Caenorhabditis elegans: one gene and its partner. The protein of the gene in region 1 interacts with the protein of each later gene in a pairwise test. Each region holds a gene or a part of one and is shown on either strand. Other genes may lie near its edges. The genes, in order: F13D12.3 and wee-1.3.

Region 1 (4,493 bases):
CTTTCGTGTAAACGCACAGTACACTACTTTTATTTGTTATTTGACATGCCAGTCTTACTAAGAACTTTAAAACAAATTTATTTAAAATAAATTCAGTTAATGACTTACAGTACAATTGGATGCATCATTCGTAGCACATTTCTTACAACATTTGGAGGAAGACGAAGAATGGGAAAAGTCGGAGGAGGGGAAGAAAACCAATTTCCCATTATTTCCAGAATTTGAATACATATACGAAAAAACAGAATAAAGAACAAATGCAAGACCAACTGACGTATCGATCCAATACCACAGTAATGGCTGCACGTCTTCTACCGTGAGCAGATGGGAAGATTGCAATGTGCTCATTGAGGTTGTGTCTTAAATACAGGAAGGTCAGATTTAGACTAAATTGGTTTACAACTGGGATACACGCTAGCAAAGTTATGTAGGCAGGTACGTAGGTAGGCAGGTGTTTTTTTTCAAAAACCTACGTATTTTAAATTTATAAGAACTTTTGAATTTGCAATTTCCGTTCTTGAAGTCCAAGAACCACCGGATGTTTCAAATTGTCAAAAGACGAACAAGTTATGAAATTGTGATATTTCGAAAAAAAAAGAGGAACAAGAAAACATGACAGATGATGATAATGGGTGGTAATTTGAGATGGGGAAACAGGTCGGTTGAACAAAAAAGTATAAACAAGTTTGGTGGTTACCTTCTATCTATTGGCTGAAATATCGATGACTCGGGGAAGAATTCGAATTTTCGATTAATTGAAAATCTCTAAAACCTTGCCAAAAGTTACAGTAGCGTATTTTGAAAGGTCAAAATGAATTCGAAAATAACAGGTTCTAATCAAATTTTGAAAAGGTTATTGGGTTTTTGAATTGCCTTTTTGTGAGAAGACAGAAATGTTTTATTCCAGGTTTCATAAGGAATTTTCAGCGTGGCTAAATTGTTTCAATAACCGAAGTTATTATTTTTGCACAATGAACACTAGAGCTGAATTTTGGTTGTAAAAAAAAACCAAAATGATTTTTTCAAGAAAATAGAACAACTCTGTTCATTTGAGGATCTCGTAGCAAAAATTGCGAATTTTTTCAGATAAATTTCTTTATTTATTTATAAAAACCTTTATATTAAAGTCAAAAACCTCGAAAACTTCATTTAAAACTTAATTCAAAGCAAACTGTGCTGCGGAATTCGGAGTCTCGTTTGGCCACGCCACTTTGTTCTTTGAACTTGAATTTAGAAATTAATGCTTTGGAGTCCGTTTTTCAAAATATTGGCAATGTTATGGTTGTGCAAAACTGTAAAATGGCACAATTATAAACATTGCTCCTTGGCGGAATATGGAGTCTCGTTTGGCCACGCCCCCTTTTTTGTTGTGACAGCGTAGGCGCTTCACTTTGATAGATTATCTCTCGATCAACTTTTATGTTATGGAAAAAGTGTAAAAAGCAAAAGTATCGAAAATCACATGATAAATATTTTGTCAGTTGACAATTTTTATAAAATATAAGAAAATTGAGATATGACCTTCCAAAGTTGAGCGTTAAGGCATGGTACTTTAAAGAAATATGCGGTTGTTTTATGCAATTTTGTACCTTTAGATGTCATTTTTGAAATTTGAGTTCTTTGGAAAAGCTGGAATTATTCATGCTTAAAAATTACTTCAACGTGGCTTGAAAAAACAACAACTCGGTCACCCATAAGTTCGGAGCATTTTCCCGATAATCGGAACTAAAGAACCCCCTCTTAAGACGTGAGAAATCAAAAATAAATTGCTGGCTGAGTTTTCGCATTTTCTAGGCCAACCACTATGTGATTGGAAAAACTGTTCCCTTGCGAAGTATGACGCATTGCTTGTCCAGGGTCAACCAGTTACAGGCCATCTTCATGCTTTTGTCTCTTTTTTATTATTATTTTCCAATTCTCCAAAAACCTTTTTTCTCGCCAAAAAGTTCGTCAAATTTTGACTCATTTTCCCGATGCCCGCCCCCGTCAGCCGAATGATTATAAGGAGGGCATTAAGAAAGAGACAGGTGACCAAAGTCTTCGTATCATTTTGTGTTTTTCTTCGTTACTTTCTTTCCCCGACGGTATTGATCCATAAAGATTGCGTTCAACATGTTCTCACTCCCTATTTTCGTTCTTATTGCGTCATTTTCAATTGCACACGGATTTGTCGTAAGGTGGGTTTGAAAGCTTGTATCTCTCTTGTGATAGATTGTGGCTAAAAATTGTCAACAGAGAAAATAATTTGCATAAATTTTTCTATGATTTGTTAGTTGACAACTTTTTGCTAGGAGTTGTGGTTATTAAGATATAGGACAAGAAAAATTTCAAAAATTTTTTTTGGAAACATTTTTTAAAAAAATCTCTAGTTCTAACTTCAAATAGCATAAATTTTTAAGGCAACGTTTCGGAGCATAAATATTAATAATGAAAATCCTATAATTTGCGAATTTTTTCTCTAGAAAGTTTAATTAAATTGAAAGTTCAAAGAACCAAGTGGGCGGGGCCAAACGAGACTCCGAATTCCGCGGCGCAAATTGCGTAGGGAATTCAGTTTTGAATGAAGTTTTCGAGCTTTTTATTTTGAAAATTGATTTTTTTTGTAAATTTCAAATTTTATAGAATGATAAATACAAATTATCCGGAAATATTTAAAAAAAACCGAAAAAATTGGGATTTTCGCAGCGCTGCGAGACAAAAAAAGATTTGACCATTTTACGGAAATGGCTTTCCTTTTTGTTTTGGGTCTTACAGCGAAAAGTTTTAATGTTCATTTCGTACACATTTAAGTGCGACTAAGTAGGCGTGGCCAAACGAGATTCCACATTCCGCACAGTAAAAATTAAAAAAAAATCGGTTACCATAAAATTATTTAATGTAAATATTCATCTCAAATCCCAAAAAAAAATCCGCTTTTTTTTCAGAACTCGCCGAGGAGCCTACATGTCCAGCAGTTCATATTCTAGGCCAAGTTACGGAGGAGACCAATGGGGTCAGAATAATAATTATAATCCATATCAAAACAATTGGAATCAACAAAACCAGAATTGGGATCAATATGGAAACAGAGGTAGTCAATATGGATCCTCATACGGGCGGCCTTCAAGTTATGGGCCACCACAGCCAAGCTACTCCCCACCAAAATCCTCATATGGACGCCCAGAACCCACCTACTCCCCATATTCGCGGCCTAGCTCTTCATATGGAAGACCACCTCAGTTCTATCCAGCTCAGCCAGGTCCAGCGGTGCCAGCTGTGATACCTCCAGTTGTCACTCAGCCAATTGTGCCGCCTCCAGTTCCAGAAGTTTCTGAGCCAGTTCCAGAGCCACCAATCCCAGCTCCAGGCCCTGTTGCTCCACCAACACCATCTGGTCCACTATTCGGAGGAGTTGAGCCAGGAGCCGGAGCTCTTACCCCAGGAGTTGCTCCACCACCAACTGATGAGGAGATGACAAGGGTGGACGCAGCGGAAAAGGAGAATGAGGTAGGCTTACTGTAGTTACAAGTTTACTGTAGGCTTAGAAGTCCGCAAAAAAAAAAAACACTAAAATTCAAATAAATTTTCAGGTCCGAAAAGCTCGTGGTGGACCTCCAGGCATCAATGTGGCAGCGATTGCTGAAACTGGAACTCTCCCACCTCAAGCTTCAATTCCAGATATTCCAATGCCGCCTGTTTAAATTTTTTCCAAATTTGTGTATTCCCTTCCAAAACCCGACTCAAGTACTTTCATACGGTTATTTTTTCAGTTTTCTGCACTTTTTCTGTTCCAAACAACCACGACTTTGACCTTTTTCGAATAAAATTCATGCTTCAAAAAACAAATGAAATTGGTTTCTATGGAAACGACAAGATATTTCGGTTGAAACGTGCAAAAGTGAAAAAAAAAACAGAAGCCATTTTGGATTAGTGGAATCCATTTTTGAAGTCTGCAGATTACTTTCTGTTTCAGCTGGCTCTTGGAGAACAAAAAGAGTATAAAAATGAGCATTTGGATTGAATTTCTCAGTTTTGAACTTATTTTGAGCCACAAATACGGTACCAGGTCTCGCCACGACAATTTTCAAATGCGAAAAGATGTGTGCACCTTTAAAAACAATTAAATTGTTTTTAATGAATAATTTTTTTAATCGAAAATATATGAAAAATCGGTAAAAAAATTTCTGCAGTAACGAAAGTTTGAAATGACAGTGCTATTTAATGGCGCACACCTTTTTTGCAATCACCAATTTTTTTTGTCGTGTCGAGACCTATATTTTTGATTTGCGTGACCTTGAAATTTATGCACAAGAATTCTAGGCCATCTCCACGTAGAATGTGGCCTAGAATGTGGTCAATTCACATTCTTTCATAAGTTGACATTGCGAACAAATATCGAAACTTTCGGGAAAAGCTGCTTAAGACATTAAGTTAAATTAGCTTGCAAAAACATTTTTCTCTTCAAAAAATCATTTCCTTCCTTCTTCCTCTCAATAAAAATATGTTTTTTCCCA
Region 2 (5,267 bases), 2.0 Mb from region 1:
AACAATCTGAAAATCTGCAATCAGCGCAAACTTTCCCAGCTGTGAATCGAGGAAGGAAACGCCAAATCACTCACGAAAATGCCGATAATGCGAATCCGGCAAAGCGGCCAGACTTGGCAATTCTTTAAGTGTCCAAATTGGAATTACAAACTTAAATTTCAGATGGCGAGTCACTTCATGATGCTGAACATCAGGGACAAACATGTGGTGCAGCGAGCGACGAGAATTCTTCGTTTCTTGGGGTGAATATTTGGTTTAAAAATGAAATAATTACAACATTTATTTTAGGATAAAAGAGTTTATCTTCTCGGATCCAATCGCTCAAAGCGTCGCAAATGAAAGTCGATCGGCCGTCGCGTTCACCGTTTCCCCAAAGGATTCCGCAAAAATTTTGGAAAAAAATCAACGACGAGAACTGGATTGATGTTTTCGATTGCAAGAAAATAAAGGAGCGCAAACAAGAGTTCTTCTGGTACAAGCTGGATCCTCTTGATTTGGCCAAAGCAGTGGCAATGGCTTCACAGTAATTGATTTTTCTCATCTAAATTATAAAATCATTGCTATTTTTCAGAATGAACGACAGAGGAGTCATCCCGTATCCAACACCAACGCTCAATGATGCCCTCAATGACCATGCTGCTTTGATCCGCGCACTGAACGATTCATCGATCAAAAAGTTGTTCAAAGAGGTCAGATTTTTTTGTACCATGAGAAAACGATTCAGCACAATCCGCAATAATCCAATTTCAGTCAAGCGAGAGCCCACCAATTTCTAGTTCAACATCAGAAATTCAAGAAAATAATTTTTAAATTCATTTGTCAAATATCCCATTTTAATTTAAAACCATGTATTATAATATTTCTTTAAACCCCAACCATTGCAAATATGTGTAATTTTTAAAATCTATTCGCTGGTTTGATTGCTTATTGCACCCACTTTTTTATTAAATATGAAAATTCTATTGGTAAAATAAATTTTAACTCTTAAATTTTCCTGTTTTATAAAATTTTCCTGTTTTATTTCCCTTTGTTCTACTTTCAATGCTGTATATCTGACTTTCTGCGGTGTTTAGGTAGATGATTGCTCTTGAATTGACAGGCCGTATCGGAGAGTCTTAAAAGTTTTCATCTGCTAAACCGGTTTGTAGTATGTAAATAGTCCGACAGATCCAAGCTACTGAAATTTTGTTTAACGTGATGTAATTCACATTATTATTATTGAAATTTTAAAAAAACACTATTTTTCTTTGGGTCTGCTAGACTACAAACTACAAAACATATCTAGCAGATAAATTGTCTCATATCGCTCATAGAAGACCCACTACAGTTTAATATTGAACCCTTTCTTCGGCAAAATTGGTCATTCCGGTTGAACACCATATTTAAAATTATTTTTTGAATATCCCGCTGTTTTCCCCTGTCTAGTCTGCATTTGAGCGCCACGGTGTTTGCACAATGTGTCTTCTCCTCTTTCGCGCGCTTGTTTTGAATTGCAATCGCCGTTGGCAGAATTGTTTGTTTTCTCGCTGTTTTGTCGCCTCCGCCTAATTGATTATTCATTCCTTCATACTAATATTATCTTATTATAGTAATTTCAATGTTAATTCCAATATACTCTCAGAAATCAAAAGGTTTTTTAGTTGAAAACGTTCCAAACACGTTATTATCGATTTCTCTCTATTTAGCATCTTCTCTGCACCGCAAAAATCTATTTTAAAAAATTTCTGTCGATATTAATTTTGATAAAACATGTTATTTATTTTCTTTGACCTTCCTTCCTTCTTTTTTCCGCTGCGTATGATTAATTTATTCATTTTCAGTGAAAATGGACGACACAGAGGGTAACTCCTCGATGGATTCCATTCGAAATGGTCAATCAAGTCCACTTCCACAGGTCACTCCACGCTTACCACAAATCCCGATGATGATGCGTGAGACACCACTTTCCACAAAACGTGAGCGCCAAGCAATTACTCCACGTTTCCGTCGTCCAGCTCCGAAAATGATAAAAACTATGCCACCAACAAGAAGCATTTGGTCTGTTCGGAAGGAGTCGGTCCCACTTTTGGTCACTCCGCAGGGTATGTCGAGTTGATTATTTTAAACATTAATTATTTTTGATAAACCCAACACATCTCAAGCATTTTTTCAGGACCAAAACCACTGGAATCGCCAAAGTACGATCATACAAATGCTCAATCATTCTTTGAACAAGTATTTCAAATCGATGAAATCATTGGAAGAGGCTCGTTCGGAGAAGTATTCGCAGCCAGATGCCGTGAGGATTCCCAATTGTATGCTGTCAAAGTATCGTTAGCTCCGATCCGGCAACATTCAATTTCCAAGTACCGAGAAGCTGAGAGCCATATGATCATTCCACCGCATAAGAATCTTGTCAAGTTCTACAGAGCCTGGGAGGAAACTGGTCGATTGTATATTCAAACAGAACTTTGCGATCAAAGTCTTTTGAAATATTGTACAGAGAAACATGCACTACCGGAGGACGAAATTTGGAATATTTTCGTAGATTTGCTCCAAGCTGTTCATCATTTGCACTCGAACGACATGATTCATGATGATATTAAACCGGAAAACATTTTTCTTACAAAGGACATGATATGCAAACTCGGAGATTTTGGTTTGGTTATTAACCTTAAAAATGTAAGTTCATACTTTTTAATATTCTGATTTTATTCAATCGATTTTCAGCCAAATGATGTGAAATCAGCGGAAGAAGGTGACTCGAAATATCTTGCTCCAGAAGTTTTGAACGGCCGTCCCACGAAATCATCAGACATTTTCAGTCTAGGAATGACAATTCTTGAGGCTACTACTGATCTTGACGTTCCATCAAATGGAGATTCGTGGCATCAAATCAGAAATGGACAGATTCCTGATAGATTCTTCGCTGGAATTTCTACAGATCTTCGCAGTTTAATTGCCTTGATGCTTGACTCTGATCCGAGGATTCGTCCAACAAGTCGAGATTTGCTTGATCATCCGGTAATCAAGAAGAAGCTCATGAAGCGTGGAACCTATGTAAAATGCATTTCAATTGTAAGTTATAGTTTTGTGAATGAGGGATTTTGACAATCACTGGTTTCAGCTTAACGGCTTTTTCTACGCCTTCAGTGCTGTTCTTGTCTGGGTAATGGCTTTCTTCTCGGTGCTCTTTCATCCTATTGTTCGCTTCCATGCTGCAATTAAAGACCGGCAATCGGAAATTTGTGCGCAATTTGTCAATGTAATAAGTTTTTTTACCCAAAATTTTATCAACTCGAATTTTTCAGAATCAGCAGCACACTCCCATCCAAACTCCAGAGACTTCTAAAGTTTATTTGGAATCTCTTACTGGAGTGGCTGTTCGCCAAGCATCTCAAATTGTGTCTCCTTTCGATTTTTCCGATGATGAGAATCCACCAAACGCGCAACGCCGTTTGTTCACTGGTGCAGTGCCGTGTCGCTTGAACTTTGATAACGATCAAGATGACGATGAGGAACAGGCGACTTGCTCATCATCAAACTCTTCAGCTATTGAGCCCCAATTGGATGAACCGGAGAGTCCGCCGAGAATGAACGATGTTATTGATAAACTTGGAAAACGGTTGGTTTTGTTGTTAAATATTCAAAAAGTTTCTGGATTCTCTATTACCAACTGCTATTTTTCAGAGGAACTCCAAGATCAGCTCGTCGTAATCTCACTTTCAACCGTCATCGTCAAGTAGCCGCGTCAGTTGCACCGAAATCGTCGCTAAATCATTATAATCATCACACTGGATCTGGAGATGGATTTAGTAATAACTCTCTAATTCCAATTAGTGATCAAGAACGAACGGAAAAATATCTCCGAATGCGACTCACCGAGCAACAGTTAGATTGGGCAGATCAGAATAATGTGATCGACGAGGCTCCACCACCAATGTCTTGTCCGCCAAGAATCCGAAGAAGCATTCGTGATCTACCGAGAATGCCTGTTCTCAACTTTAACGTTCTCGACGAGCCATCGAATAAACCGACTGTTGATCATCATACGATTTTGGAGCAATCGGAATCGCCACGTAGAAGATTAAATAGAGGGGCTAAGCCTGTGCCTCGTAATAGAATGGTTAGTAGTTTTACGCTAAATGATTTTTATTAAATGTTTTTTTTCCAGATGTCATTTGGATCATCAGGCGACGAGGTTTAATAATGCACAAAAATCAGAAAAATTGTTGAATATTTATTTTTTGCATTTATTAGCATCTCGTACTTTTCTTACTTTTTCTCATCCCATCATCACTTCCCCTAGGTTTTATGCCTGTTTACAGTAGTCCTTCTCACTAGTTATTGATTGATTTCTTTTCCCCCTTGACGACCATCTCTTCACAAATGTGTCATTACTCGAATTTTATTTACTATTTCTTCTGGGTGCTTATTTTCTGGTATTTTTGTACGTCTTTTTGTAAAATCTTTCCCCCTCTCGACCATATCGCACTACCATTATCACACAGACACACAACTTGTCATTATGTCCTTCTTTTCTGAAATTGAAGATAAAACGTATTTTATCTGAACTACGTATATTTTTTTAATTTCTCCATTTCATACAGAATCCAAATTTATTCGAATTGAATAAAGTAGGTACCAACCGATTACACATATGTCTGGTGTAATATAAACTCGAGAGGGTCTTGAGAGAAAACCTGTTCTTGTAGTACTGGAGGTAGGACAGTACAAAAAAATTTCCCACAGCTTTTGATAGCCATTTTGATTTATTTCGATAGGAATATTAATTACTTCTTAAACTACACAAAAAAACAAAAAAAAAAACTATAGAAAACATCGTAAAACCTACTTCCTTTATCAAAAGTTTATATATTGTTTTAACTTTTACTTACAACAGAACAGCAATAATTTGACTATAAAAACCGTCATTAAAAAATCTCGTACCCTCAGAATTTAAAAAGAAATTACAAGTGCTTCTATATGCATTTTGAAAAAAAGACACCACCGCCTCGATAGCTCAGTTGGGAGAGCGCACGACTGAAGATCGTGAGGTCACCAGTTCGATCCTGGTTCGGGGCAACGTTTTTTGTGCATTTGTTTAATTTTTTTTTTGCAATTTGTTTCAAGTTCAAAATCTCACAGTTTGGCCTTCTGGGCGTCTGATCTGTCTTGATATGAATATGCAAATTGATGCATAGTCGTCCACCTTGATTCCTGTTCTCGAACTGTGACGCGCTTCATTTTTGACCTTTCTCATTATATTTTTGATATAAAGAACATCA

The links.
Region 2: the proteins of F13D12.3 (region 1) and wee-1.3 interact in a two-hybrid assay, tested with the Caenorhabditis elegans proteins (one large-scale study listed by BioGRID).

What each region holds. Positions count from the first base shown.
Region 1 is NC_003280.10:11,718,480-11,722,972, forward strand, and holds F13D12.3 (Prion-like-(Q/N-rich)-domain-bearing protein), read left to right. Parts: upstream 1-1,922; 5' UTR 1,923-2,112; coding exon 2,113-2,177; intron 2,178-2,924; coding exon 2,925-3,486; intron 3,487-3,569; coding exon 3,570-3,680; 3' UTR 3,681-3,856; downstream 3,857-4,493.
Region 2 is NC_003280.10:9,713,021-9,718,287, reverse strand, and holds wee-1.3 (Membrane-associated tyrosine- and threonine-specific cdc2-inhibitory kinase wee-1.3), read left to right. Parts: upstream 1-1,820; 5' UTR 1,821-1,825; coding exon 1,826-2,081; intron 2,082-2,152; coding exon 2,153-2,661; intron 2,662-2,709; coding exon 2,710-3,057; intron 3,058-3,106; coding exon 3,107-3,244; intron 3,245-3,290; coding exon 3,291-3,604; intron 3,605-3,669; coding exon 3,670-4,105; intron 4,106-4,153; coding exon 4,154-4,186; 3' UTR 4,187-4,551; downstream 4,552-5,267. Other genes in the region: Y53C12A.11 (PRE_C2HC domain-containing protein), read left to right, coding at 1-116, 163-242, 289-424; Y53C12A.6 (uncharacterized protein), read left to right, coding at 513-523, 572-689, 751-810. UniProt on the Caenorhabditis elegans protein: Acts as a negative regulator of entry into mitosis (G2 to M transition) by phosphorylation of the CDK1 kinase during oocyte maturation.